Linked DNA regions of Cricetulus griseus. The protein of the gene in region 1 purifies or fractionates together with the protein of each later gene. This does not show direct contact. Links are inferred from orthologs where the notes say so. Each region holds a gene or a part of one and is shown in the gene's direction. Other genes may lie near its edges.

Region 1 (3,500 bases):
ACTTCTGCAATGCTTGTGTATCTTAGCATTCACGAGTTACATACTGTATTTAATTACATAATATATTGAGACTTGAAAGTCTTATCTGACTAAAAGTTTACTTGACAGATAAAAGTTTTATCTGATTAAAAATAAAATGATTTGTGTTTTACCTCTTATAGTTGTATTATACCTCAGCCTCTCGTTACATTATAGGTATTTTTTTTTCTACTTTTAGTTATACAAAAGATTTAAGTTACCAGGACAACCACCAGCATCAATGGGGAGAGGAAGAGACTGGAATGTTGACTTAATTCCCAAGTTCCTTATGGCCAATGGTAAAGAATGCTAGCATTATTTATGACTGTATGGAATCTGGGTTGGAAGTAGAGAACATTATCCCAGGTCTGAGGCCCTGGGGAATTGGTTGATGTCAATAGTATGTTTAGTAATATGTTTCATTAAAAGTGTCTGGAGTCTAATTAAGAATGGAGGGAAGGAGGTATAGAAAATAGCTCTGAAAAGAAACAAAAGCATGATGTGACACAGTGCATGTTAAAATTGAAGATTTTGTAGTATATATTATATATGTATGTAAGAAACTATAGACATTTCACACAGTTAGAAACATTTGTTGCAAATCTGGTGTGGTGTAGTACAAACAAAAATTCTAAATATAATAACATTGTAAGTACCTTCGAGAGACTTTGGGAGCCTGAGTCTTAAATGGTCTTTTAAAGGCTTTCTAGTGTGTAAGCTGTTGAGATCACCTAATTTCTCAGGATTTTAGAGGACTGAACTATCTTAAAATTTCTGTGGTGTCTATTTTTTTCTAAGATGGTATTAAAAAATGAGCCAGGTGCAGTGGTTTACACCTGTAATCCCAGTACTCAGAAAGCTGAGGCAGGAAGATTGCTGATAATGTGAGACTTTCCTGTGCTACAAGTAAACTTTAAGTCATCCATGTCTCACAGTGTGAGGCTCTGTCTGGAAAAATAGAAAACAAAGGAAAAACTAAATTTTTTGTTACAAATTTATTTCCCATGAAATATAGTATGTGTTATTCTTTTTCTTTTTTTGAGTTACATTTTATAGTTTGTATTATAGATACATTGTTTGAATGTTCTTTTAAATTTAAATAATTGAATTCTTGTAAATTATCCAAGTTTGTATAGTCTAGGCAACATTAACAGTAAGCAGGAAGGAAACAAAATTTGCATAGTCAGAATCCCACTATCTGGATTTTTTTTTTTTCTTTGCAGTGCTAGGGATAAAACCTTAGATTTAATTGTGCTTAACATTTTGATGTTTGAGATACACATATGCATAGTCCCAGTTCCCATGCAGTTTTCAGCCAGTGTATAATGTATGTGTAGGGGGTGTAAGAGGGAGGAAAGGAGTGTGTGTGACTGATGACAGATAGCATTGGGTACCCTTAGGAGAGAATTATGGATTTTTGTTTGTTTGTTTGTTTTTGTTTTTTGAGACAGAGTTTCTCTGTGTAGCTTTGGAGCCTATCCTGGCACTCGCTCTGTAGATCAGGCTGGCCTCGGACTCACAGAGATCCGCCTGCCTCTGCCTCCCGAGTGCTGGGATTAAAGGCGTGCGCCCGGCAAGAATTATGGATCTTTTTCAGAAGGCTTTTTCTGTTTATTACCACATTTGGCTTTTGCCTTTCCCAGTACCGTTATCAACCAGCCCTTGATAGTATTCATTTTTGTTTCTGCCATTTGCCATTGTAAGGTAAAATTTGAATTTTTACCATAAATCTGTCCATTAGAGGGTGGAATGAGTTTTAGTTATTGACCAGCTTTCCTGTTTATTGGTGAATTGACTTATTTTCTATTAAGTTGTGTTCTCCTTGCAATGAACTCCTTATAGATATCACCTCTCTGAAGACACAGGGGCAGCCTTTGTAGACAGGGACTTTGCTGCACAATTCTATTGCATGTGTTTTTCTTTATAAAACATTCGTTGGTCTTTTAAGGTCACAAGGCTTAATAATGGGGCCAGTTGATGTAATTTTTCAGTGTACTTTAATCTCTGCTGCATGAGAATCTCTTTATACTTTATTTCCTTAATTTTTTTTGTTGTTGTTCTGGAGTTTGAATACAGGGTCTCACACATGCTAGATAAATGTTTTTACACTAAGTTATGTCCCCCAGCCCTAACTTCAAAAATGATGTGACTACCCTGTTGTAGTTATCCTTTCAAATCATCTTTAAAATGGTTTTGGTCTCACAAAACTTTTGGCTGATTTGGGTAAGTGAGCCTCCTTGGTCTTATAGGCAGATGGGATTCCTAATTGTAGTCCTTAATCTATTTGATGTTGATATACTCTTAATAAATATAAGTAGACTTAGAAATTGAAATATTTGGAATTGTCTGTGACTGATACAGAACTGCAAGGTTGCCTCAATTCACTCACCAGTACATATTTCATGGCCTTTGTTAGCCTACAAGTTGTAACATTAAGCTTAAACGTATGCTTAAGGTGTGAATTTCTAGTCATACCATTGAAAACACAGCTTTGGGGGCTTCTTGGTAAGGATTGCTATACAATTCTTTAGGAAAATTTTGGGTGCTAAGTTTTATTGGTAGTAAGGTTTGAGTGACAGCTTGCATTACATGACTTTTTCAGGTCAGTTGGTGAAGATGTTACTTTACACAGAGGTCACTCGCTATATGGATTTCAAAGTGATTGAAGGGAGCTTTGTCTACAAGGGAGGGAAAATCTACAAGGTTCCTTCCACTGAAGCAGAAGCACTGGCATCTAGTAAGTAATTCTCATTTATCAGAATGACACGATTTTTATGGTGAAAAGGAGTCCCAGAAACCTATTTGTCTAGTCAACAGATAGTTATAGTGCCAGACACTCATTTAGGCCCTTCTTAATGTTCTGTTCTGTTTAGGAGAGGAGGGGAAAGGATGTGAAACTAGAAGTTTTCTTAGCTTTTTCTTAGTACCAGCTATATGCTATTAGTAGGAGTACTGACTCAAGAGAGCTTGGGATTTAATTCTCTCTCTCTCTCTCTCTCTCTCTCTCTCTCTCTCTCTCTCTCAGCTTTTTTTTAAATATTAATTTAATATTTTTAGACAAGGTAATGTCCCATGTATTCCCCCCCCCTTTTTTTTTTTTTTTTTTTTTTGGTGTTCAAGACAGGGTTTCTCTGTGTAACAGCTCTGGCTGTCCTGGAACTCACTTTGCAGACCAGACTTGCCTCAAACTCAATGAAATCCACCTGCCTCTACCTCCCTGGTGCCGGGATTAAAGGTGTGTGCCACCACCACCCAGCTCAGTGTGTTTCTTTTAAAGATATTTTATTTTTATTGTGTGTGATTATTTGCCTGATATGGGTGCTGGGACCCTAACTCAGGTCCTCTGCAAGAGCAGCAAGCTCTCCTAACTGATGAGCCATCTCTCCAGCCCTGCTTATAGCTGTTTTTTTAAAAGTGTGTAGAGCAGCTCACCGATTGTTTAAGTTTCATTAAAGTAAGTGACCCACAGGGCGGTCAGCTTC
Region 2 (4,172 bases), on another chromosome or scaffold:
CTTCCGCTATGGTTAAGACATTCCCATTGGGAGGAAGAATGATTCGGACGATATGTCTTAATGATAAAACTAAGACCGATCAGTGAATCAACTGGAGGGAGATGGCTTAGAGAATGCCAACGTCTCCAAAGCTTTAGGGGTGCTTAGAAGGAAGAAAAATCTGTCTAAGAATATGAACACAACTGTGATGGTCACAAAAGAACATGACCAAAGGCTTAGGTTACACACGAAATGCAGATTTTGGTGATGGTGAGTTAAAATGAAGCTTTAACCTCTCTTAAAAAAAAATTTCTATATGGTTTAACCAGCTCACCAGTTTCAACCACTGTACCATCACATTCTGCATGTGCTGGAGTGATGGAACCTACTGAGAAAGGTAGGTTAGAAATGTAGCCATTTCAACTACAGAACGGAAGATGAGAAAAGGGAAGTATAAATAAAACACAGAGAGAGGAAAGAAGGGGGTAAGGCAGATGAGAAGACATGGCACGGGTTTGGCGGTGCAAACCCGCAAGAGAAGCACTCGGGAGCTGCAACTGGCAGATCATGAATTGGAGGCCACCATGGGGTACGTAGCCAGACTTTGTAACAAAATAACCAACCTACAAACAAGTGAAAAAGTTGGGATGGGACAAGCTTTCGGGTTTTCGATTTAGTGATACAACTTTGGCAAAAGTGACCCCGTCCGCCTTCTCTGTCTAGAGCGTTCCGGCTCCAGGGGATTCCAAGGGCTATTTAGGCCTGGAGCAGCGAAGCTTCCATTTGCAGGGAGGTTCTCCCCGCACCCGGTGTTCCTCAGGCCGATGACATCATCCCGATCCCAGGAGTGCTGCGATCTTTCAATTTGGAATTCCAGATCCTTCGAACTCTGGCTCCTTAAGAACACGGCGATGTCACGACCGGCCCACAAGCGAGGGCCCTTCTGGAGACGTCTAGTTTTAGTAAGGAGGTTCTTACTAAATGGCCCAGGACACTCCTTTCTCTCATCTACGAAACACACACCACACACACACACACACGCGCGCGTGGCCACCCACGCCCGTCGCTCAGCCAACTTCCTTCGCCCCACAACCAGAGACTGAGGGGGAACAGAAGATCCCAGCAATCAGCAGGGCGCCCCGGAAAAGGCGGGGGGGGGGGAGAGCAGGGCTTCAAGGCAGTAGTGCGCCGGCGCAGTTCCCAGGCCTCGCCCCCCCGTGGGGCGTGTTCGTCAAGCCACGCACCCAATCAGAAGGCCGCAGGGAGCGCGCCCGCGGCCTCGCCCTCTCTAGTCCCACCTCCGCGTGCCCTGCATGCCCTCCCGCGCGCGTGCGCAGAAGCCGGCCGCAGGGGCGAGGGCGCGAGAGAAGGGCGGGTGTACGTCCTTGCGTGCGTCTCAGGCAGCGCGCACGCCGGCGTGAGAGGGCACGGGGAAAAAGGTGGCTCTGGCCGGGGCGGCTCGGTTTCCTGGGGTTATGTAGCAGGGCTCGTCGGCTCGCGAGACCTCCTTCGCTGCCCTCGCCCGGGTCCTAGCGCGGAGTATCTGCTCCGGGCGGAGGCCGTGTTCAAGCCCGCCGCGCTCCCTCGACGTAGAGCTCGCTCGCTCGTCCGTGGGAGCGTCCCGGCCGAGCCGCGCTGAGGGGGGAGGGGAGGCCATTTTGTCCCGACCGACTCCCCGGAACCGGGCGGAGCGGCTGGGAGAGGCTGCGGAGCCGCGGGCGCCGCCCCTCGGAGGCACGGGCGCCGCCACCGTCGGGGCTTCCTCGACGAGGCCGTTCGGAAGGTCTCCCGCTCGGTCTCGAGAGTTGCTTTCTCCCTGGCATACGCTTCTCCGCTGCTGCGGCCCCAGAACGCCCGGGTGAGGAGTTGGCCGTAGTGAGCAGCACCGATCCCTTGGGGCTACCGGCGGCGAGCGCCCGAGCCGCTCCTCCCAATGGCGAAGAAGACGTACGACCTGCTTTTCAAGCTGCTCCTGATCGGGGACTCGGGAGTGGGCAAGACCTGCGTCCTTTTTCGTTTTTCGGATGATGCCTTCAATACCACCTTTATTTCCACCATAGGTAAGACCTGTGGGAAGATGATGTGGGGGGCTCTGTAGCCGCGAACCTTTTTCTTTTATTCCAGACATCTTGCTTCCCGGAATTTACGCCTTTGTTCCAGTGATTCCGATTCCAGACGACAGACCTGAGTTACTGTTGGAATCGGAATAGCGCTTACTGGGGCGGGGTCTTCCCATGCTTTCCATCCGGTCTTTGCTTTCAAGTCTCCTTCTCTGTTCGTTGCCTGCTGGCACAAAATATGCAGCATTTAGCAGCGTTCCAGAATCCTGTTTCTTTAAGTGACTTGAATGGCCTTTCCATAATCGAGTGAACTTACTTGATGTGATACTTGTAATAGGCATATTTTAGTGGTTGAGACTGAAGCATTACTGGCTATGTGGTAAAGGCCCAAATTTATATTTGGGGTCACAGAGAATATTCCGTCTGGCTGTAACTTGGAGTAAACTTGAGAGTTGCAGAATCATTAAAGAAAATGAGAGGGGCCGGGCCGGGGGGGGGGAGGTGAGTTGGCTGTCTTGACTAAACCATTGATGTGTCAAACAATTGGAGGCTCTTCGTGCTTGGGGTGGGAATCTGCCACGATTGGCTCACAGTGCCTTTACAAGACCTCAACAGAAATAATAGACTGAGGGAGATGTTCGGTTTCTGTCTTCCACACGATGGAATCAAGTCAAGCTCTCGTGTTTTACTTGACACTAGAATTTACAGGAAAATGTTTCGCCGGTCATGGCCCTAAGGACTTCTAATGTACTTTTACCACATATTTTGGAATTACTTGGTATAGAAGTAAAAGTTGAGGGGGTGGGGGTTGACCTTTTTAAATGGGTTTCCTGTTTCGGAAATGAAAAGGGAAGGTTCCAAGAAAGTCGTTTTGACTCTGGCACCAACATTAATTTTGTCAACAAACAAACAAACAAAAAGCTGTGCATGATACATCTCCCCCATCCTTGCCCCCAGTTTTTGAAAGTATCCTGTGTCTGTCAGTTTTGGACATCAGCTTCAGTATTAGGGCAGTGCAGGAAAACTTGCGATAAATGTAACAAATTTTATGATGAGATTATTTAGGGAAGCAGCCTTAGTGGTTTTTCAGCTCTTAAGAATTGTAAAAATCAAACTAATTTTAACCAATTTAGAGTATTATTGAAATCGGCTTGGATTTCTTTATGACACATATTTATCAATAACTTAAACTCATTTGTATAAAACAAGCTTACTGAAATTAAAGTGAACAAGTTTTTAGTTAAAATAGGTTGTTTTGTTTTATCTTACTGGTGGGAGGGATTGCCAGAATTTCATGAAACTTAAACTTGCCCTCTGCTTTGTGGGTTAGCACTGAGTTTGCTTTGAGGTGTAACTGGGTGAGTCAGGTGGTTAGATCAGCAAATATTTATTGAGCACCCAATGCTAGGCACTGCTAAAGGTATTGGGAATAAGTGGTGGATACAATAGACCCCTTGACCATTCTGAAGAAGACTGTCACAGTAGTGCGAAAAGCACTACAGTGAGGAGAGGGAGGAAAGGACTAGTCTGAATTATGGGGAATCTGAGTAGCTTTCCATGGATAGTTTAAAATGAAGCCTGAAAGACAAGTACTGGATCAGAGGGGAGACAGCCTTTCTGAAAGAGAATTTAATGTGTGGTCAGTTTTGTAAATCCTGCCATTGAGAAGGGTGAGGTGGAAAGTAGGAAGCAAAGTTTTTTCTCCCTGCCTCCCTCCCTTGTTCCCTCTCTCTCTCTCTCTCTCTCTCTCTCTCTCTCTCTCTCTCTCCCTCCCTCCCTCCTCCCTCCCTCCCTCCTCCCTCCCCTCTTTCTTTCTTTCTTGTGAAAGGTGACACTCAGCTCCCTAGCTACCTGTACTCAGGTAGTGGGAATCGACTAGCCTCATGCTTGGTAGGCAAGCTGCTGAGCTACATCTCCAGTCCTGATTCTGTAGTCTTTGTTGTTCTTTCACTTGGGAATGGGTTGTTTCTCATGTAGCCTGTTGTGTTGGAATCCGTGCTCCACAGGTTGCTAACTACAACTTTGGCTACAATGTATTAAATAGTATTAAACTGTGTACAAGTACTGTGTGTGGTGCTTGTGAGGATTTTATAGGTCTTTGAGAGCAAAGTCTTTAGCAATGGTGCCAGGTAC
Region 3 (4,054 bases), on another chromosome or scaffold:
TTAGTCAACATTTAAATTCCTGAGCTGATTAAAGTTAAGAGCATAAGGTCTAAAAATGTATTAATATTAGTTCTGGAGTCTGTAGTGAAGAATTGCATGGCTTGAAAAAAAAAATCACTTGTTGTCGGGCTTTGGTAGCGCACGCCTTTAATCCCAGCACTAGGAAAGCAGAGACAGGAGGATCTCTGTGAGTTCGAGGCCAGCGTGGTCTCCAGAGCGAGTCCCAGGATAAGCTCCAAAGCTACGCAGAGAAACCCTGTCTCGAAAAACCAAAAAAACAAAAAGAAAGAAAAAAATTACTTGTTACTGCCCAATTTTGCAGAACGATACAGAATTAAGTACTAACTAATAAAACAAACAAAAACAACAGCAGACCTGAAAAAACAAAAACAAAACCCCCAACAATTCAACTTTATAAGTCTAGGCCTCAAGTAGGCAGACTGGTTTAGGCTGACTCTAGCCTGTGTCTCAACCACACAATGCGGAGCCTTTGAAGGTTGGGAGGTCATGATGGAGTCGCAGTTTCAGAAAGATAAATCTGGCTGTATGTGCAAGTGGACTGGGGTGGGGGGCGGCAGAAAAGAGACAAAAGCAGGGTCCATTTGCAGCTACTGCAATGTCAGGTTGCTAAAGTAAAATGGTTTTTAAAAAATGAGAAAAGAACGGATCGGGTGAATAAGAAGCGCAAGATCCACAGAGGCGGCTTGACTTTCCTTCTGTTCTTAGAGCTGTCCGGAGGCTCGTGTGGATGGCCCCCAGGGTCGCGCCAGAGCAGGGAGGTGGTCCTCATACCTCCCTTCCAGCCCCAATGGCCCCTCCTCACTCTGTCCTGGAGTCCCCAGGAGCCCCCACCCCCTCGGATGCGGCACCGCCCTCCGCCGGGTTCCTTCCCCTCCCCTTCCCGTGGGGCGCCGACTCGCCCAGCTGCCACGTCTCACTGATGACATCAACACAGCCCGCTCGGCCTTAGCCAATCCGCTAGGGGGAGTCCGAGCGAAGTCCTAGCCAGCAAGCCAGAGGGGAGGGGAGCAGGAAGGGCGGGGTGTGGGGTGAGGGAATCGGGACGGGGCGGACGACAAGCTCGCAGGTGCGCACGCGTGCGGGGCGCGGGGCCTGGTGGGAAGCTGAGTGCAAGCTGTCCTCGGCCCCGTCAGGCTGGCCAGCGTGCGGTGCGCTCACGACTCTATTTCCCGGCGTGCCGCGCGACGCGGCCGCCCTCTGGGCCGCGACAGGCCCCTTGGCCTAGGCTTCCCTAGTTCCTGGTTCGCCGGCGGCCATTTTGGGTGGAAGCGATCACTGAGTGGCGGCGGCTGCTGATTGTGTTCTAAGGGTCGGAGTGGGGTCGACGTTTGCTCTACCGGAACAGCTTAGCTCATTCCTTCCCTTCCATTACCCGTGGCGCGGAGAGTCGGGGCGGCGGCTGCGTCAGCAAGGGCGGTGGCGGCGGCGGCAGCTGCAGTGACATGTCCAGCATGAATCCCGAATAGTGAGTGCAGGAGAGCCGGGGCGGGCTGGGGGTGAGGGCGTCCGGCCGGGGGGTGAAGGCCACCGGGAGGCTCGCTGCGCGGCAGCGGGAAGGTCGGCCGGGCGAGCGAGGCGGAGCGGCCCCAGGGCCCCATTGTCTGACGGCCGAGGGCCGCGGCGGGGAGGGGTCGGGCCTCCGGGGCAGGGGCCGGGGAGCCGGCGGGGAGCTGTGTGCCGCGGCCGGGCGTTGGGGAATCGGCCTCGGACAGCGGCCAGGAGGGGCGCGTCTCTGGGAGGCAGTGACGGCTGGAGGAGGACTTGTTTTTAAGGGAGGTAGGTGGGAGAGCTCTGCTAGAGGGCACTGTCAGACCCTGCGCCGGCTCTGCGGAGCTGTCAGCCTCGGCAGCGAGGAAACCAGCTTTCCTTGTAAATCCTCAGCTTGTTACAGCTCTCTCCCCGGCGGGTTTCAGGTAATATGGATGTTTCTCGGGACTGCGTGGGTTGAGGAGATGGTGAGAAGGTATTTACAATGTTTAGTTTCCTTTTGGGCTTGTCTCCTGAGGAGTTCTTTAAAGAGTGTGAGCCATGGTCCTTCTACAATCCTGGGCATTTGTGAAATTTTTGTTTTAGAGGACACCTAAGTCTCCAAGTCACCTTTTGTTTTCAGTAGGTCAACAATAACAACAACTAAAATTAAAAATGTCTTCCTGGCACCGCCAACTTAAAGTACGAGTTTGCTCACAAATTGGAAAAGAGCTTTGATAGAGCTGTAGGTTTTAGATTACCTAGTTGAAAGCCTGTAGATAGGGAATGAGGTTCCATGACGTGTCATGAAAAGTTAATGCATTCCTTTTTCTTGCTTACTCAAGAAGTCACTATAGCAGATGTGACACACCTGGCACCTTTCATGGGAACTGGTGATCTCTTTTCTTGAGTAGACATTGTTGGGCTCTTTTGAACTGCACCTAAAATCCTCCTATACTTTTATATATGAAAGTTAACTTGAAGAGATGGCATTTTTGTTCTCTTTAGTGTCAGAAATCTTTAAGGGAGTGGATTTTTTTTTTTTTTTTTTGATAAGAGAAGCCAGCATAGCCTTAAAGCTGAATTTGTTGCTTGATCAATTACCGCTAAGTGTTTCCCCATGAAAGGTCTATCCATCAGTTTAGCTGACTTGTCATCATGTGTGTGTCACATGGCTCTTGCAAAATGCATTCTAAGTTCCAAGTTTTGTAAGACTGTGGTTTTATGCTGAGATGTTCTTTTTCATTTGTGCTAAGCAGAAGTCATAGTATCTTGGTAGAATTTTACATTAATTTTATTGTGTGTGTGTAATGCATGTGATTGCAGGTGCACAGGTGCCACAGTACTTGCGTGAAAAAGGTCAGGGAACAAATTTTAAGAGTTGGTTCCATCTTCCTTTGTGGTTTCTGAAGACTGAACTCAGACGAGCAGTCTAATCATAGAGCCATCTTACTGGTCCAGACTTTTGTACTTCTTTAAGAAGTTGGGAACAGTTCATACTTGCTGTGTTGGCAGCCCCTTCCCCAAGTCACCGACTCTGCAGGACAAAATTGGTTTAGTAGAGCAAAGTTGAATTGGGTTCCTAGTTAGTTTTCCTGGCATCCGTAAAGAACTTGGATTTAATCAGCCTGGTGTTGGACGGTGGCGTAGGCGGCGAGCACTCTGGAGGCAGAGGCAGGTGGATCTCTGTTAGTTTGAGACCAGCCTGGCCTACAGAGTGAGTTCCAGGACAGCCTCTAAAGCTACAGAGAAACCTTGTCTCGAAAAACCAAAAAACCAAAACCAAAACAACAACCCCCCCCATGGATTTACTAGACTAGGGAGGTTTGTAAACCTGTACTATTTGAGGAGTTTCCTATATTTGTTTTGTATGTATGTATGTATGTATGTATGTATGTATGTATTTGGTTTTTCGTTTTTCGAGACAGGGTTTCTCTGTGTAGCTTTGGAGCCGATCCTGGCACTGGCTCTGGAGACCAGGCTGGCCTCCAACTCACAGAGATCCGCCTGTCTCTGCCTCCCGAGTGCTGGGATTAAAGGCGTGCACCACCAACGCTCGGCAATTTTTTCTTTTTACAAAATTATAATTTCACATGTCAGTCCCTTCTCCCCCCCCAACTTCTCCCCCAGCCCCCTCCTCCCTCCACTCCCCATAGAGGGTAGGGCCCTCTACGGGCCTCCCCAAATTCCACAACATTCTCTGTGTAGCTTTGGAGCCTATCCTGGCACTCCTTCTGTAGACCAGGCTGGCCTCGAACTCACAGAGATCTGCCTGACTCTGCTTCCAGAGTGCTGGGATTAAGGTGTGCACCACCAACGTCCGGCTTTGTTACATATATTTAAATATTATTTATTTGTATGTGTGTGTTTGAGGTTAGAGCAGTGGTTCTTAACCTTCCTAATGCTATGACCCTTTAATACAATTCTTCATCTTGTGGTGGCCCCCAGCCATAAAATTATTTTTGTTGTCTCTTCATAACTGTACTACTGTTATAAATGGTAGGGTCTCGACCCCTAGATTGGGAACCACTGGGGTAGAGCCATTCCTTGGAGTTGGAGTTACAAA
Region 4 (4,048 bases), on another chromosome or scaffold:
AATCCCTGAACTCAGATTGGCTAGATCTCCTGCTCAGGGATTGCTTAGTTTTCTGCACAGGCTTGTGGTCAGATTTGGCTCTGGTTTCAGGGCCAAAGTGTTTCTTTCACTGGTCTTTTTAGCCTTTTGGCTCTTGTTTTAGGACCAGGGTGTATTTCTTTCACGGGCTCTGATTCTAGGGACAAAGTGTGTTTCTTTCACAAGTTCTTTTAGCTTTTGGCTCTAGTTTTAGAACCAAGGTATATTTCTTTCACTGACTCTGATTCCAGGGCCAAAGTGTGTTTCTTTGGCACTTATTGCAGGGCCAAAGTGTGTTTCTCTGGCTGGCCCTTTTTCCCTACACCCAGCACTCAGAAGGCAGAGGCAGGCGCATCTCTGTGAGTTCGAGGCCAGCCTGGTCTACAGAGCAAGTTTCAGGACAGCCTCCAAAGCTACACAGAGAAACACTTTCTCGAAAAAAACAAAAACAAAAACCCAGAAGGGAAGGAAGTGCCACTGTAAAGCCTGGGAAAGTCACCTCACCTATAGCGTCAGCATACTCAGCCGCTGGTGTGGGGTGAAGGAGCCTGCATTTCCGGCGGGCACAGAACAAACACTGCCATTACACTGATCTGCCACTGTCCTACCAGCGCCTGCCCCCGCTACGGCCTCTGGGATGGCACGCCTCAGGGCCTCGCGTGGCGGGCTCACTGGGGCGAGCCCGGAGGCCTCGGCCGAAAAACCTCCACAAGGGAGTGAGCGCAGTGACTCATGCACTTCCCGCGCTTCGCCGCAGTGCCTAAATGCGACTGCGCGGGCTGCGAAGGCGGGAAAGCTGAGGCGTCCTCCGCGCGCGTGCGCCCTCTGCTGGAGCCAACCGTCTTCCAGCACGCATGCGCATTTTCACCAAGCCCGTCCGTCCCTCGCCGCCCCTAGCGCGCGGAATTGTTGGGGTCCCTCCCGTCAGGGGCGGGGAATGAGAAGGTGGGGCCAGGGCATAGCCACGCCCACCGCCGTTCATTTGAAGCCCCCCCACTCCGACTCTCCATCTCTAGCCAATCACAAATCTCGCTACCCCAAGGGCCAGCCAATGAGCGGCGCGGTGCGGCTGCTTCCGGCTCTGCGCCGGATTCGTCTCTTTGCCCTGAGCTCCCTGCGACGGGCGGGGCTCCGGAGGGCGGGCGTCGGCCTCGGTGACGCGCGGCGGGCCGAGGTCCAATAGGGGGCGGGATCTGAGATGATGGACGGGTCTAGCGGCCAGTGGCGAGGCGCCGGCCGGACTTCCCGTCGGGGAGAGAGTGTAATATGGCGAAGACCTACGATTACCTGTTCAAGCTGCTGCTGATCGGGGACTCGGGGGTGGGGAAGACCTGTGTCCTGTTCCGCTTCTCCGAGGACGCCTTCAACTCCACGTTCATCTCCACCATAGGTAGCGGCGCCTCGGGGCGGCCGGGGACCGGGGCTGGGCGCGCCCCTGTGGGGCTGGGCTGAGGGATCGGCTCGGTATCCACCCGGGCCGAGGATCCGGGAGGGTCGTGGGCCCTGACGGAGGACCGCAGCGGCCTCCGTCTCCTCGAGGGGACGCCGCGAACGAGGTGCAGACGGGAACACTCAGGCTGCTGTCTGAGGGAGAGGCTGCCCTGGGCTGGGGTCCTGGAGCCTGTCAACTCTCTGTCCTCACAGCAGCCCTCGAGACGGTAATTTTGGGAGAGATCCCCGTCTTACAGAAGTGGAAACTGAGGCATGGAAGTGACACCTGACCTCGTGCATCATTCCCTATGTGCCAGGTTCGGCCTGTGCACTATCAAATACTGTAGTGCTCTCGGGTTGGGTGTTGTGTCGCTGAAGGAGGAATTTGAAACTGAGGGAGGGTGTGGCACGCACTGAAGGTCAGTCTACAGGTGTCAGGGTTGAGATTTGAACCCATGTGTATCTGACTCCCAAATTCGAGGCCTAGCTGTCCCAGAGAGGTGCCGCCTTATACCCTCACAGGGCCAGCACCATCAATTAACCTTTAAGTCAGGACTCCAACCCAAAGTCCTGCTGCCCTCTGCCTGAGGAGTGGTGCTAGTACCTGTCACCCTGGTGGAGATGTGAGAAAAAAGTTCCTGTGAGAAACTAAGATCGGCCACGGCCACGTGCAGCCTTGACAGGACACCACCTGTCACTTCCTGAACAGCTTTCCCCCAGGGCTGCCTCACGGTGCAGTTGAACAGAATTGGCTTGTGATTGACAAAGTCCTGATGTCAAAAATGGCACAGACCTTGGACCTGGAAGTAACTCCTGTCAAACAGGGTGGTCTGCATGCTGTATGGCCCTGGAACAAGAGAATGGTGCCTAGGCCTGGTTTATCCCAGGCCAAGCTGTTGTTCAGTTGGTGCAGTCCTGGGGTCCATCCCCAGCATCCTGAAACCAGGTGTGCTGGTAAATAGCTGTAATGACAGCACTAGGTAGGTGGAGGCAGGTGGATCAGGAGTTCGGGTCATCCTTGGTTACATAGACTGTTCAAGGCCAGGTTGAGCTACATGAGTCCTGGCTCAGAAAGAAAAGGAAAACATAGGGAATGATTTCTGTGTAATGTCAACTAAGCTGTATTGTCTCCCTGACCGGACCATTGTGTGCTAATGTCATCGGAACTCTCCTTCCTGGTGGGCACTCTAAAACAGTCAGGTGTCAAGTACAGAAAATTATACCTGGACTCCAGGTGCTGTTCATCCTTGAACAGGCTCTGACCTTTCTTATGTGATTTGGTTTAGAGCAGATGTGGCACTGTCTGTCTTGGCTGGTGCCCGGGGTGGTTGAGGGTTAGCTCTATACAACGAGTGAAGAGGTCCATCTGGGGGAAGCGGAGGGTTTAGACACCCCTGGACACAGGTGCATCTGAAGCTTCTCCCCTCCCCCCCCCAAAACATCCAGCTTTGGAGTCACCCTTAGGTGAGGACCAAGCAGGAAATGACAATAGCTGCCCACAGGCTCTGGCTTGCTCTCAACACAGACCTCAGTTTCCCGGCCTCAGACACTTCCTAGTCACCAACGTATTAGTTCAGGGTGGTTTTCTGTTTGTTTGCTTGCTTGCTTTATTGTGTGTGTGTGTGTGTGTGTGTGTGTGTGTGCTCTTGCATACTCATGCATATATATGAGGGCTGGAGGCTAGAGGTTGACACCAGAGTGAACTGGTTGTCAACAACCAGATCAGTCACTCTCCTTGCTGCTGCTTTTTCTTTTTTCTTTTTTTTTAATTATTTTATTCGGAAGGTAGGTGCATGCTGGTGCACATGTGGGGGTCAGAGGACAATCTGTGGGAGTCTGTTCTTTCCTTCCACCATGTGGATCATTGGGACTGATCTCAGGCTGCCAGGCTTATGGGCAAGTACCTTTACCCACCAAGCCATCTTTGCTGAGTCTCTCACTGAACCTGGAGCTCACTGAACCTGGAGCTAGCCCTAGGACCCTTCTTTCTCTGTGTCACCAGTGCTGGGATTGTAAGTTGATACCACCATGCCCAGGTATTTTTATATGGGTTCGAGGGATCAAACATGTCCCTAGCCCTTGTTTGTTTGTTTGTTTGTTTGTTTGTTTGTTTGTTTGTTTGAAACAGGCTGGCCTAGAATTCACTGTGTAAACCATGCTGTCCTGGAACTCTTGGAAATCTGCCTGCCCCTGTTTCCCAAATGCTGGAATTACAGATATGAGCCATCCTGCTCCACTGGTTTTGTTACATTTATTTTGTGTGTGTGCATATATGCCAAAGTCAGGAGACAACTTGTGGGAGTTAGTTTTTTTCCTTTCACCAAGTGGGCCCCAGGAATTGAACTCACATCATCAGGCTTAGTGGCAAGCACCTTTACCTGATGAGGTTTCTTGTAGGCTCTTGTTTTACATCTCACGTGTGTTTCTCCAGTTTTTCTTTTTGAAGTACTGGATATGGAGCCCAGGTTAACCACATATCTGACCACTGATCATATCCATCTGGATGGTTTGAAACTCTTGATCAGAAAACCAACTTAGTCCTTCGGGGTCCCTGGGAGACAGCCCTCCTTTACAGTGAGGTAAAGGTAGCACTTGAACC
Region 5 (4,097 bases), on another chromosome or scaffold:
TATATATGGAAGTGAGAAGTTGACATTAAGATGTTCTCCTTCATTATTTCTCCATCTTCCATTTTTAAACATTTCTTTTGTGTGTGTGTGCCATAGTACAAATGTGGAGGGAGGTCTACTCCTTATACCATGTAGGTTCCAGATATGAAACTGACGTCATAAAGCTTGGCAGCCAGCAGCTTCACCTCCTGAATCACCTTACTATCCCATTGTTTTGAGCCTGAGTCTTTCAGTGAACTCTGAGCTCATTGAAAATCCCAAGATCTTTCTATCTCTATATGATCCACCCCTAGTGCTGGAGTTACATGTTCATGTTTTCACATGGGTGCTGAGGATCCAAACTCAGAATTTACTGGTTACACAACAAGCATTCATTAACTGAACCTGTTGTATTTTTGTCAGACATTGTCTCACTGTACAGCCAATGCTGGCCTGGAACTCCAGATCCTCTTGCCTCAGTTCCCAAGTGCTGGGATTACAGGATGGACCCACCATTCCCATCGAAGCTACACTTTAGACTTAATCTTAAGACTTGTAGGCTGGGCAAGTAGCTCTGTGGTACAGTGCTTGTGTTGCATTTCTGAAGCCTGATTCTATTCCTCACTGGCAGATTTTGATTCAAATTAAATTCTTTCCCTTCTTTAAAGAAATCTCCAGTGTAAATGGAACTGTGGTCTTTCCTTGATAAAGTTAGCATCTCAAATCAGTCCAGTGAACAGAAACAGTCCTTGTTGCTGTTTACTTCCTTCCTCCTAATCTCAGTCAGATGTGGTTAAAGAAAGTCCTTAGAGGAGTAAACTATAAGGAGAAATTATATACATTCCAAAACCCAATTCAGTATTTACTATAATACAGGCTACAGTGCTAACTTATTCTGTGTTCCTAGTACCATTATTAATCCACTTTCTGGGCATTGCTTGTAAATACATCTGACTGAACATTTATCTTTATTGTACTTTATGGTACCAGCTCTAGAGTCATTCCTAGGGTGGCCCAGTGGAAGCTGTCTTTCCAAACATCAGTATCAGTGCTCACTGGACCTGCTTCTAGCATCTGAGAGGCTAAAGATAAATGATACAGCAAAGTAGGGGGGAAATGCAGTTTAAAAAATGCAGGATGAGGTTGTGTGGCTTAGTGGTAGTTGTTAATGTGTGTAACGTGCAAGCCCAGGTTCCTAGCACAAATCAAACAAAAAGGTCCAGGATTCCAGGTAGGATTGGATAGTGCAGTACTACTCAGGAATATTGCTGCTTTGTCCACAGGATTAAGCCATGGATCTAGCAGGTGAATTTTTGGTGGGGAGCACTACCAAACCACTATTAGTTGTATAGAACTCACAAAGCTATTTGTGTATAGTAAGTGTCACTGTTTGTAAATCAGATTGAGGTTCTCATAACCCAAGAGGGGAAAACTTAGATGTTTGAAGGGTGTGGAAGCCAGGAAAGAAGTGGATGCTGTATGTCATATAATTGGGTTTGCTGATTAGGTTGCACAGTAATGGACTAGTTTGGTTGGGTTGGTGTGGTGGTTATGTTGATAGAATGTGCTTATATCCTGACTCATTCTCAGAATTATTTGGGACAACCCAGAGAATGTTGATATAATGTGAGCTTCTTTATATACTTTATAGCTGGCCATGATCCATTGGCTGGATTTTTATCTGTTTTACTTTTCAAAATGGAGTTGTGATATGCTTCTCAGGCTAGTTTTAACTTCCTTCCTGGGCTCAAGTGAGTGTACCAATTCATTCTCCAGAGTGAATCATGGGATTGCAGTTATGTCCCACCATGTCCAGCAGATTGTATATAATAAAAATTTAATGATTAAATAGTCTGAGTGTAGCTAAGTGGTAGTAGAGTTGCCTACTTTGCTCTGAACCAATATGACACAAACTATTAATAATTAAGTAAAATATGTTATTTCTGTGGGGAATGATATAAAAATTGTGTATAGTTCTAATTAAATTTAAGTTTAAATGATATGCCTACAATTGGCCTCTACCTATTCCTTCACAAACACTAAGAAATTAAACTCCTTTAGTACAACAACCAGTGATGTGTTCTTTGGGATTATTGGTGTTTGGCTTTACTTTCTGGCATTTAGTAGATAATAAACATTTGAAAGGAGCAAACAAGTCAGTCACATAAAACTTTGGAGAAAGAGTATTATAAATAAGTAGGTCTAAGTGATTTTAACATTAATATTATAATTTTATTTTGGTCATTTCTTTCTTAGCTAAAAAGCTGCCAAAGAATGAACCACAGAATCCAGGTGCAAACTCTGCCAGAGGACGAGGAGTAGACCTTACTGAGCCTGCACAGCCAGCCAGAAGCCAGTGTTGTAGTAACTGAACTCCAGTGTGAACTTCCTAAATGGAAAAAATCGTGGTGTGGGAGCATTTAGCCGGCCCAATGTGACTTCCAAAAAGAGACTTATGGTAGAATCAAGTTTCTAATACTGAATTATTTTGAGTGTTTTGAGCTTAATTTTTAATAACATGCATGTGTTCTTCCAACTAATGTTTCGGCAGTAGAAAGGGAAAAGGAACCGTGTACAATTTGTTTGTGGGAAAGTGCAGGGGAACCATTCGTCTCCATCGGGGGTAGATCCACACTTAACCCACCCAGTCTCCAACCTGAGATAATAGTCAGGTGTGAAAGATTCATAATTACTAATGTGAGCTTTAGGAAAACATTTTTAGAAGACTAAAAATATTTATGCTTAGCAACAGAAGACAAGCAAGTGGTAATTTCTCCTATTGGCTAAAAAGTGTACATTCCACATATTAATAAAATAATCCTAAGAAAACAGTCCTACATCTCCAGAAAGAATGAATATTAGTGACATTTTACTCAGTCCTAAAATTTGAGTGAAAAGAAGTCATGTGTAACCCCATCTTGTTTTAGGAATATAAAAACTGATGAATGCATTTTAATGGATAGTGGTCCCTTCGTGTGAGCTCTTCAACAAAGTGGAAACAAACCAGGTGTCTGATTTCTCTTTAATCACTGTTGGCCATTACATAGAGGTCTGTCTGGAGCAGGGAGGGAGCTCTGGTTCCTTTTGGACATGATTGGTCAGTGCACTAACAATTATGTACATTCAAACTTGATTTTAAATATGATCTTCAGCTGTACTGTAAATAGAGTACTGCATTGTAGTCTCCATGTTTATTATTTTCTGTAATATTTAAGAATTGCCTAAGCGTATACAAAATGTACAGTTACTAAAACAGCTAATTATTTCTTTATTCCCCCTATGAAAGGAAGGGGCTTTGCTGTTCTTACATGGCTAGAACCATAATAAACACTGTACCTACAATTTGTAACATAAGTATTACAATGTTATTAGTAATAATCTTGAAACCTTGTTTTTCAAAGTCCATTTTATTTTGATCAGTATGTTGCACTAATTATTTTAGGTATTTCCATTATATGAAATCTACCATGTGTCAGATGATTTAATCTGTTTAAGTGTCAATCTGCTAGCAGAACTTGTACATTTTACAATAACTCAAAATTAGTAAGGAAAACAGTTCACCAGGGTTTAGTTTTATATTGAGGTGCTCAGGTTGGAATAAAGTGGTATAAAAAGCAACACTTGAGTTTTCTTTCTCTTTAACATAAAGTAGTGAGCATAACACATTTATTGTATATAACCAAACGCTTTTGTATTTTCTTCCTGTTAAGAATCATTGTCTAGAGTCATGATCTGTCCTAGAATCTGGTGTACTGAAGTCTTTGTGGTGCTGTTTGCTGCTCTGGGTCTTTGGAATGTTTTTATGTCAGCAGCTGATACTCACTCCCATTGAGAAACACTACCATAACAGTGATGCTCTCTCTGGAACCACCTTCTAAAGCAGCCCTTACTAGTTCATGGCCAATGTACTCAGCTGCACCTTCATAGAAATTCTTAGCATATAGTTCTTTCTCGCTTCCCGTCTTACTGTCTATAGTGCGTGGGCTGTTAGTTTCTTTCTTGCTGTGAGTGTCATAATTAGTCATTTCTGGAGGAAATGTTTCTGCATTTTTAGCCTGATTAATGCAAGCTTGAGAAAATACTGAATCAGATGACCTTTTTGTTAGATTAGTAGTTGA
Region 6 (3,087 bases), on another chromosome or scaffold:
CAGATCTGTTCTCACCAGTGTACTTGTCTTGGAGCTGTTCATGGCAGTAATGTCCTCCCTCCTGTAGGTGGCCACAAAGAGGGCACAGGCTTGGTGCTACAGCAAAAACAACATTCCCTACTTTGAGACCAGTGCCAAGGAAGCCATCAATGTGGAGCAGGCCTTCCAGACAATTGCTCGGAATGCCCTTAAACAGGTGGGTGCAGGGCTCTGCAGCTGCAGGCACACTCTGGTGATGTCCTGTGTTCTTTCCTAGATGTTTTTCTTCCCAAGCTGCACCTGGGAAAACGTAAGGTGCTTCTCCAGATGGGTAGGTCATAACATATTCTGCCTCCGTCCTTAGGAGATCACAGCTTTGTTAGTCATCTAAAAGACAGGGCAGAGCTAGGGTATGGCTTGGTGATAAAACACTTACCTAAGATACAGAGCCTTCCAGGCAGCCTGGTCTCAGACATGGAAGACCTTGGGGGAACAAAACAGACACATGGTGAAAGAGGTGTGGGCTTGTTTGCTCCTGGACTTTTAGGAGATCAAGCCACCTGAGGCCTCTTGCCAAGCAATGCTTCTAGTTAATGAGATGAACTTCAGTCAGATCCCAGCTGCCATCTAGCCGTGTCTGAGCTTCTGCCCCCCACCTCAAGCAAGGCCATATGTAGCGTGATGGTGGTCCCCTGACTCAGCTCTCAAACCATGAAGTGGCACTTTCCTGAGAGTAGTTACTTATATACACAAATAAGAAATAAAAAGAAAACCGTCAGGGAACTCAGAGCTTTCAGCTACCCTCCTCTAGAGAAGATACTGTGTGCCAGGGGAGGAAGCTGAGACAGCATGGCAAATTCAAGGCTAGCTAGGACAACATAGTAGTGCTGGAAGTGTGGCCAATCTAGAGAGTTTGCTTAGCATATGCAAGATCCTGGGGCTTGTTATAGTATGGGGGAAGTTTTTTAAAAATGTAAGCTTGGGCTACCAGCATTTTTGAGGGCCATGGAAAATTAAAGCAGGCCACAAGGTGTCATCATGCACGATATAGAAAACAGCATGGGTCTGCAGTGATACATGAGGTAGGTGGTAATTTGAAAGTCAAGACAGGGTCTCCCATCTCTAGGAAGCTGGGTTGATAATGCATTGATTCCCAGCAGACCAGAACTAGTGGCTGTGTGGGTGGCAGAGATTTGCTATGAATTGTTCCAGAGGTGGGAGTCCTGGCTTAGAGGGGCTATACAAAGTGCTTCATGACAGTGGTGGGCCTACCCAGGTAGGACAGTTCATCCAAATGCCAAGAAAGCCCCCCCCAAAAATATGCTTTCTTCTGGTGTCCTCCACCACCACCCCAATCTCCCCTCCCACCTGGATTTTTCTTAGCATGCATGTATCCATGTGAAATCCAAACACATGGAAGTGTCTCCCGTTTCTGTTGTGTTGACTGGCACCACTGTCAGGCTCCCTCCACCTGCCGCTCCTCTTTCTGTGAGGTGACCCACTGTTTGGATGAGGCTGGGTAGTTCACCTAGGGAAGCTCCCCAGCTGTGGGTGGTACCACAACACTTAACTGCTGGCTCTGTCAGTTGCCATCTTCATAGCACTGTCCCTCTGAGCCTCTCATCATTGTATGCCACCCCACAGCCCCTCTGTCAGTGCGCCCCCCCCCCCAGTAGTTTTAAATTGAGTCTCTATCATTCTATTTACCAATAAGACTAGGAAGTCAAAGGCTGGGGTGAAAACCTGCTAGCTCAGAGAGGTTGAGTAGCAACTAGCTGACCTTCCTTTTTGGCTGGATACACCCTAAGAAACACGTCTCTTCCCTTATTCCAGAACCAAGAGAGCTCAAACCAATCAGTAAGTGCTATCAAAATATCCCACAACAGTGGTCTTTGAATGGCCAGCACAGAATCTTGGCTGACCCCTTGCTCTTTCTCATGAGGTTTGTTATCCTTTTTAATATTTCATCTTCTCTTTCCTGGAAAGAGGAACCTAGGTCTCCTTTTGAATTCTCCAAACCTTTAGTATGGGGCTTTTTAGTTCCCTGACTCACCAAGAGTCCTGACCACACCAACACATGGTCCTTTCACAGGTGGTCCTCGGGAATGTGCCCAGAGTGACCTTATCAACTCTTTGTGAGTAGATACTACACCTCTGCCTACCTTCCATCCATCTTCCGTCCCATCTCCCAACTCTTGTTTTTGATAGACTTTGGCCCTAGGGGAAAAGGGCTCTTAGCTGGTGTGGTAGGGTCTGCTTGGCATTTCAGCACTTAGGGAGCTGAAATAAGAAGAGAGGAGGATGGCAAGATCCAGGACTGCCTGGGCTGCATTGAAAGTAGAGACCAGATGTGGTAGAACATTGGGAAGTGGAGGCAGGAGGATCAGGAGTTGAAGGCCAGCTTCAGCAACAAGAAAAAGTCCTCTTCCTGTCAGATACATTTTAAAGGTCTGGGTATAACTCAGCTTTGGTCACTTTTCCCTCCTGAGAACCCACATTCCTAGTGGGAGTGAGTGCTGGGAAATAGCTGTTGTCCCCTTGAAGTGTGACCAGTTGTTAAAGCACTCATGCTCTTCCTCCAGAATTCCTGGACTGTCTTGGCAGTGTCTGGGTTCCTTTACGTCAGCCCTTTAATTATAGTTCCTCAAATTGTGGTGACACCCCCCAACCATAAAAGTATTTCATTGCCCCCCCAACCATAAAAGTATTTCATTGCTGCTTCACGAATTGTAAATATCTGATGTGTGACCCCAAAAGGGATCCCAGCCCACATGTTGGAGGCCACTGCTTTACCTGGACCATCTCTATTTCACTATCTTTAGTATGTGGTTCTGCTTACCTGTAACTACCTTCCAACTCTCTCCCAGCTAAGAGAAAGCCTGTTGAGATTTTTGTTGGAATACTTGGGTGGGCCATAACAAAATACCACATATCGGACAGCTTATACATATGACATTTTATTTTGTTGTCACAATTTTAGAGTCTGGGACCAAGGTGCTGACTCACTGGGTTTCAGATAGGGGATTCTCCTGTTATGCAGATGGCTGTCTTCATGCTGTGTCCAAACAGGGCTGCTTTGCTGAGGGAGCAAGAGTGATAAGCCCTGTG
Region 7 (3,906 bases), about 46 Mb from region 1:
TTTTGTGCACAGCACTTGAAACAAGTTCTGCAAAGAGGTGTTCCCCCGTCATCTGAGAGCCAGTGGGCAGGCCCAGAGAGGCCGACCACCCGAAATGGGGCAACCTGAGGCCTAACTCTACAGAATTTGATCATCAGCATTTTTTTTTTTTTTTGAGGCTGTCCTGGAACTCAGTCTGTAGACCGGGCTGGCCTGCAACTCACAGAAATCCACCTGCCTTTGCCTCCCGAGTGCTGGGACTAAAGGCCTGCGCCACCAATGCCCGGCCTTTGCCTGTGATCTGAGGGGCAACCATTTTGAGGGACCGAAGGAGGCCTCACCATCAGCCGGGCGTGGTTGATGTTCCAGGTGAAGGTGGTCATGGTTTGCTTCTGTGGGTCCACAATCGAGTCCTCCAGGATGTACACCGAGTGGGCGACGTTGGCAGGAAACAGTCGCTCTGCCCAACGTGGCATCCTGTTGGTCTTGGTCAGGAGTCTCCGGGACAGAAGCTTCTGGTCAGGAGTCACCTCGCGGTGCACGATGTCTTCGGTTAAGACATGTTTGCTGCGGGCGTGGCAATGAGGAGGATTCTCAGAGGTCTGCTCGTGATCAGCTGTGATCCACAGGTTCGCATTTGGAGCCTCCGGGTCATGGCTTCCCGCAATCTTACTGAGAGCACACTGAACCTATCCCCGGGCAAATTCCACATCCTCCCTCCCTCCTCCCCTCCCCTCCCCTGACCTAGTTGTGAGGCTGTCCAGGCTCAGGGCTTGGACCACCTGAGAGCGCCGCGGGCAGGCGAGCAGGCCGGCGCCGGCCTTTCTCCACCCTGCCCGCCCGCCGCGGTTCCGGCCCGGACAGCGGCCTCCGAGGGCCTGGCAGGCCGGTGGCGGCCGCAGTGGGCACTCTGCGTTCTCACCGCGCCGCCGCCTTCCCTGCCGACACTCTGGGCCGGCCGCGGCGCCCACGTCCACACGCGGACAGGCGATGCTCGCCCGGCCCCGCCGCGTACCTGTAGGGGTTCGGGTACCGTTGCCAGAAGGCAGCGAACACTTGGTCCCAGGAGCTCCGGAGCACGCTCTGGCCCAGGAAATACTTCACCATCGTCCCGACCCGGGCGGGCTCAGCACCCGCGCAGCATCAGGGTGACGAGCCCGGGGGTGGGGGGCACGAGGCTCGGCGCACGCCCGCCAGGCTCGCAGCTCAGTCACCGCCGCGCCGCGCCCAGGTCCCTGCCGCCGCCATGGGGGGACTATAGGACTGCGCGACGCTTCCGGCGCCGGCCGGGCAGGATCGGCCACTTCCGGCGTCCGCGCCACGTGACCAGAAGTCCCGCCTCCTGCCGTCCAGTGCCGGAGGTTCGGGTCGCAGTCAGCGCCGGGGACCCGGGTCTCAGTCAGCAGCCCCGGCGGCGCGGAGCCTCGGTGCCCGCGGCGATCGCGCGGGGGAGCGGCCCAGGCTCCGGCGACGCGGCGGAGGGCGCTGTCCGCGTCCCCGCGCCGCGGGCCTGCGAGGGACGGAGCGCCCGGGCCGAGGCCCTTGGGGTTGGGGTCTGAGGCTCGGGCTCGGCCGGGGCCGCGCGGACCCCGCCGTGGCGAGGCGGCCCCGGGAGCATGAGCGGGCAGCGCGTGGACGTGAAGGTGGTGATGCTGGGCAAGGAGTACGTGGGCAAGACGAGCCTGGTGGAGCGATACGTGCACGACCGCTTCTTGGTGGGCCCCTATCAGAACGTGAGTCAACCCCTCCCTCCGCAGCAGGCGCGGGAAGAAGGGGGCCGGCCCCGCTCGACGCTTATCTCTCCCCTGGTTGCAGACCATCGGGGCTGCCTTCGTGGCCAAGGTGATGTGCGTCGGAGACCGGACGGTGACTCTGGGTATTTGGGTAAGTCCCTCGGGGATGCATACAGTCTTGAGCAAACGCATCCCCAGGTGTAATGTCTTGCCTTAAACTAGCCAACTGGAGCCCCATAGAGGGCGTTTTTCCTTCCCCACACCCATTAGCTTAAAAAAAAACGGGGGTCTGGAAGACGCGGGCCTAGTTCGTAGTCTTATGAAGGAGCTCATTAACTCCTTTCACCCGCCAGGACACAGCAGGATCTGAGCGCTACGAAGCCATGAGCAGGATCTATTACCGGGGTGCGAAAGCTGCCATTGTCTGTTATGGTAAGGGGTTGGATTCTGGCCTGTTCAAGTAAGGTTTGGGTTACAGGCCGGCATCCGAGGTTAACTACTGATTCTTGGTTGTGTCTCCCGTCTGATCCCTACCAAGACCTCACTGACAGCAGCAGCTTTGAGAGAGCCAAGTTCTGGGTGAAGGAGCTGCGCAGTTTAGAGGAGGTAGGTGGCCAGATCTTACAGGTCAGCGACAGGGACTCCCTTGGCCTGTGCAGATCATCTCAGCCTTGTCTTCTGCTACAGGGCTGTCAGATCTACCTGTGTGGCACTAAGAGCGACCTGCTGGAGGAAGACAGGCGGCGCCGTCGTGTAGACTTCCATGATGTCCAAGACTATGCAGATAGTAGCTGTTATAAAGTCTTTTGAGGGTGGGGGGCAGGGGGTGGGTGATACCTGCTTGAGCCATCACAAGGACAGAAGACTGACAGCCTTGGCTGCTCTCTGCCCTTCTTGACCCTATGGGATCCAGGACCCTGAACTGGTAGCTTTAGGTCTGAGCTTCAGGTATGAAGACTTAGTCACTTCTCTTTGCAGATATCAAAGCCCAGCTCTTTGAAACATCCAGCAAGACAGGCCAGAGTGTGGGTGAGTGTTGTCTTGAGGTCTGTCAGCAGGAGCAGGCAGGACACTGGAGGAAAAAAGTTCAGAGGGCTGGGTCACTCTCGGGGGTTCCCGGAGCTCTTGGCACCAGGACCTCACTGATGCTTTGCTTGCCAGACGAGCTCTTCCAGAAAGTGGCAGAGGATTACGTCAGTGTGGCTGCTTTCCAGGTGATGACAGGTGTGTACTTCCTACCCTTTAAGATTGCCTCTAGGCTCATGGTCTCTAGCCCTGTTGGGACTTACCTGTTCACCTGCCATGATGGCGCTGAGCAGCCACCTCTCTCTTTGACAGAGGACAAAGGTGTGGATCTGAGCCAGAAGGCAAACCCTTACTTCTACAGCTGTTGTCATCACTGAGTCACAACTCATCTGGCCTGGGAGAATTAAATGAATTCCCCAGAGGGGCTGGACCCAATTCTTGTCTGGGCTGGCATGGTCAAGTGTCTGAGCTACTCCAGGTGCCCATGACAGCAGAGGTGGCACCTGCCTGTGCTGGCCCATGGAACGGAGGCAGTACTGGGCAGACTGTGGGCATGAAGAGGGTTAAGGGCAGATTTGAATCCCAGGCTTCTATCCTGGACAGAACTTGTCACAGGTTATTTAAGTAGCTTCTGAACTGTAAATAAAATTGATGCACTGTGACTCACAGCCCCTTCCCTGCTGTGTGCACTGGGTGTCAAAACACCCGGTTGTTCCTGGGGCCACCTGCCTGGCCTCACTTCCTCTAAGACTGACCATTTGGAAACCAAGTAACTGTCACTGCGATCATGGAGGAGCAATGGGCTCTTACATCCCCACATCCATGTGCGTTTGTATGTGTATGTGCATGGAGAGCAAACCCTCAGGGCTTCTAACACAGGCAGAAGCTTTACCACTGAATGATACCAGTCACTTTGTTCTGTGGGGATGAAGACAGGCTTAGAAACTGGGATGGAGGAGTACAAAGCTCATGAGAGCAAGGAAAACACCTACTAAGTTGTGCCACAGATGAAAAGGCTTGGCCATCACCAATCTCAAGACAAGGTGGTTTGGCCAGCTCTACTTCTCGTGTCATGTCTAGACCTGTGGCTCTATGAGTCAGCCCCCAGCCTCCCTGGGACGCCTTGTAGTGTATTTAACAAGAGGCAGTCCATAGTTCTGCAAGTCAG

The links.
Region 2: the proteins of Gdi2 (region 1) and Rab10 purify together in Homo sapiens (co-immunoprecipitation; 3 studies listed by BioGRID and IntAct, with this or other methods). This does not show direct contact. The link is inferred for Cricetulus griseus from reciprocal best matches to the Homo sapiens genes GDI2 and RAB10.
Region 3: the proteins of Gdi2 (region 1) and Rab1a purify together in Homo sapiens (affinity purification with mass spectrometry; 6 studies listed by BioGRID and IntAct, counting the BioPlex papers as one, with this or other methods). This does not show direct contact. The link is inferred for Cricetulus griseus from reciprocal best matches to the Homo sapiens genes GDI2 and RAB1A.
Region 4: the proteins of Gdi2 (region 1) and Rab8a purify together in Homo sapiens (co-immunoprecipitation; 5 studies listed by BioGRID and IntAct, with this or other methods). This does not show direct contact. The link is inferred for Cricetulus griseus from reciprocal best matches to the Homo sapiens genes GDI2 and RAB8A.
Region 5: the proteins of Gdi2 (region 1) and Rab5a purify together in Homo sapiens (affinity purification with mass spectrometry; 3 studies listed by BioGRID and IntAct, counting the BioPlex papers as one, with this or other methods). This does not show direct contact. The link is inferred for Cricetulus griseus from reciprocal best matches to the Homo sapiens genes GDI2 and RAB5A.
Region 6: the proteins of Gdi2 (region 1) and Rab7a purify together in Homo sapiens (affinity purification with mass spectrometry; 3 studies listed by BioGRID and IntAct, with this or other methods). This does not show direct contact. The link is inferred for Cricetulus griseus from reciprocal best matches to the Homo sapiens genes GDI2 and RAB7A.
Region 7: the proteins of Gdi2 (region 1) and Rab24 purify together in Homo sapiens (affinity purification with mass spectrometry; 3 studies listed by BioGRID and IntAct, with this or other methods). This does not show direct contact. The link is inferred for Cricetulus griseus from reciprocal best matches to the Homo sapiens genes GDI2 and RAB24.

The regions. Positions count from the first base shown.
Region 1 is NC_048596.1:228,629,340-228,632,839, forward strand, and holds part of Gdi2 (rab GDP dissociation inhibitor beta), read left to right. Parts: intron 1-217; coding exon 218-317; intron 318-2,620; coding exon 2,621-2,755; intron 2,756-3,500. UniProt on the Homo sapiens protein: GDP-dissociation inhibitor preventing the GDP to GTP exchange of most Rab proteins. By keeping these small GTPases in their inactive GDP-bound form regulates intracellular membrane trafficking.
Region 2 is NC_048600.1:14,240,577-14,244,748, reverse strand, and holds the start of Rab10 (ras-related protein Rab-10), read left to right. Parts: upstream 1-1,372; 5' UTR 1,373-1,912; coding exon 1,913-2,039; intron 2,040-4,172. UniProt on the Homo sapiens protein: The small GTPases Rab are key regulators of intracellular membrane trafficking, from the formation of transport vesicles to their fusion with membranes.
Region 3 is NW_023276807.1:86,287,706-86,291,759, reverse strand, and holds the start of Rab1a (ras-related protein Rab-1A), read left to right. Parts: upstream 1-1,254; 5' UTR 1,255-1,463; coding exon 1,464-1,486; intron 1,487-4,054. UniProt on the Homo sapiens protein: The small GTPases Rab are key regulators of intracellular membrane trafficking, from the formation of transport vesicles to their fusion with membranes.
Region 4 is NW_023276806.1:246,924,205-246,928,252, forward strand, and holds the start of Rab8a (ras-related protein Rab-8A), read left to right. Parts: upstream 1-1,248; 5' UTR 1,249-1,284; coding exon 1,285-1,408; intron 1,409-4,048. UniProt on the Homo sapiens protein: The small GTPases Rab are key regulators of intracellular membrane trafficking, from the formation of transport vesicles to their fusion with membranes.
Region 5 is NW_023276806.1:249,770,615-249,774,711, reverse strand, and holds the end of Rab5a (ras-related protein Rab-5A), read left to right. Parts: intron 1-2,235; coding exon 2,236-2,351; 3' UTR 2,352-3,597; downstream 3,598-4,097. Other genes in the region: Pp2d1 (protein phosphatase 2C-like domain-containing protein 1), read right to left, coding at 3,780-4,097. UniProt on the Homo sapiens protein: The small GTPases Rab are key regulators of intracellular membrane trafficking, from the formation of transport vesicles to their fusion with membranes.
Region 6 is NC_048601.1:55,318,992-55,322,078, forward strand, and holds part of Rab7a (ras-related protein Rab-7a), read left to right. Parts: exon of another isoform or gene 1-67; coding exon 68-196; exon of another isoform or gene 197-462; intron 463-3,087.
Region 7 is NC_048596.1:274,309,615-274,313,520, reverse strand, and holds Rab24 (ras-related protein Rab-24), read left to right. Parts: upstream 1-1,313; 5' UTR 1,314-1,595; coding exon 1,596-1,712; intron 1,713-1,794; coding exon 1,795-1,863; intron 1,864-2,065; coding exon 2,066-2,144; intron 2,145-2,250; coding exon 2,251-2,318; intron 2,319-2,399; coding exon 2,400-2,499; intron 2,500-2,690; coding exon 2,691-2,741; intron 2,742-2,873; coding exon 2,874-2,936; intron 2,937-3,050; coding exon 3,051-3,115; 3' UTR 3,116-3,406; downstream 3,407-3,906. Other genes in the region: Prelid1 (PRELI domain-containing protein 1, mitochondrial), read right to left, coding at 321-546, 995-1,086.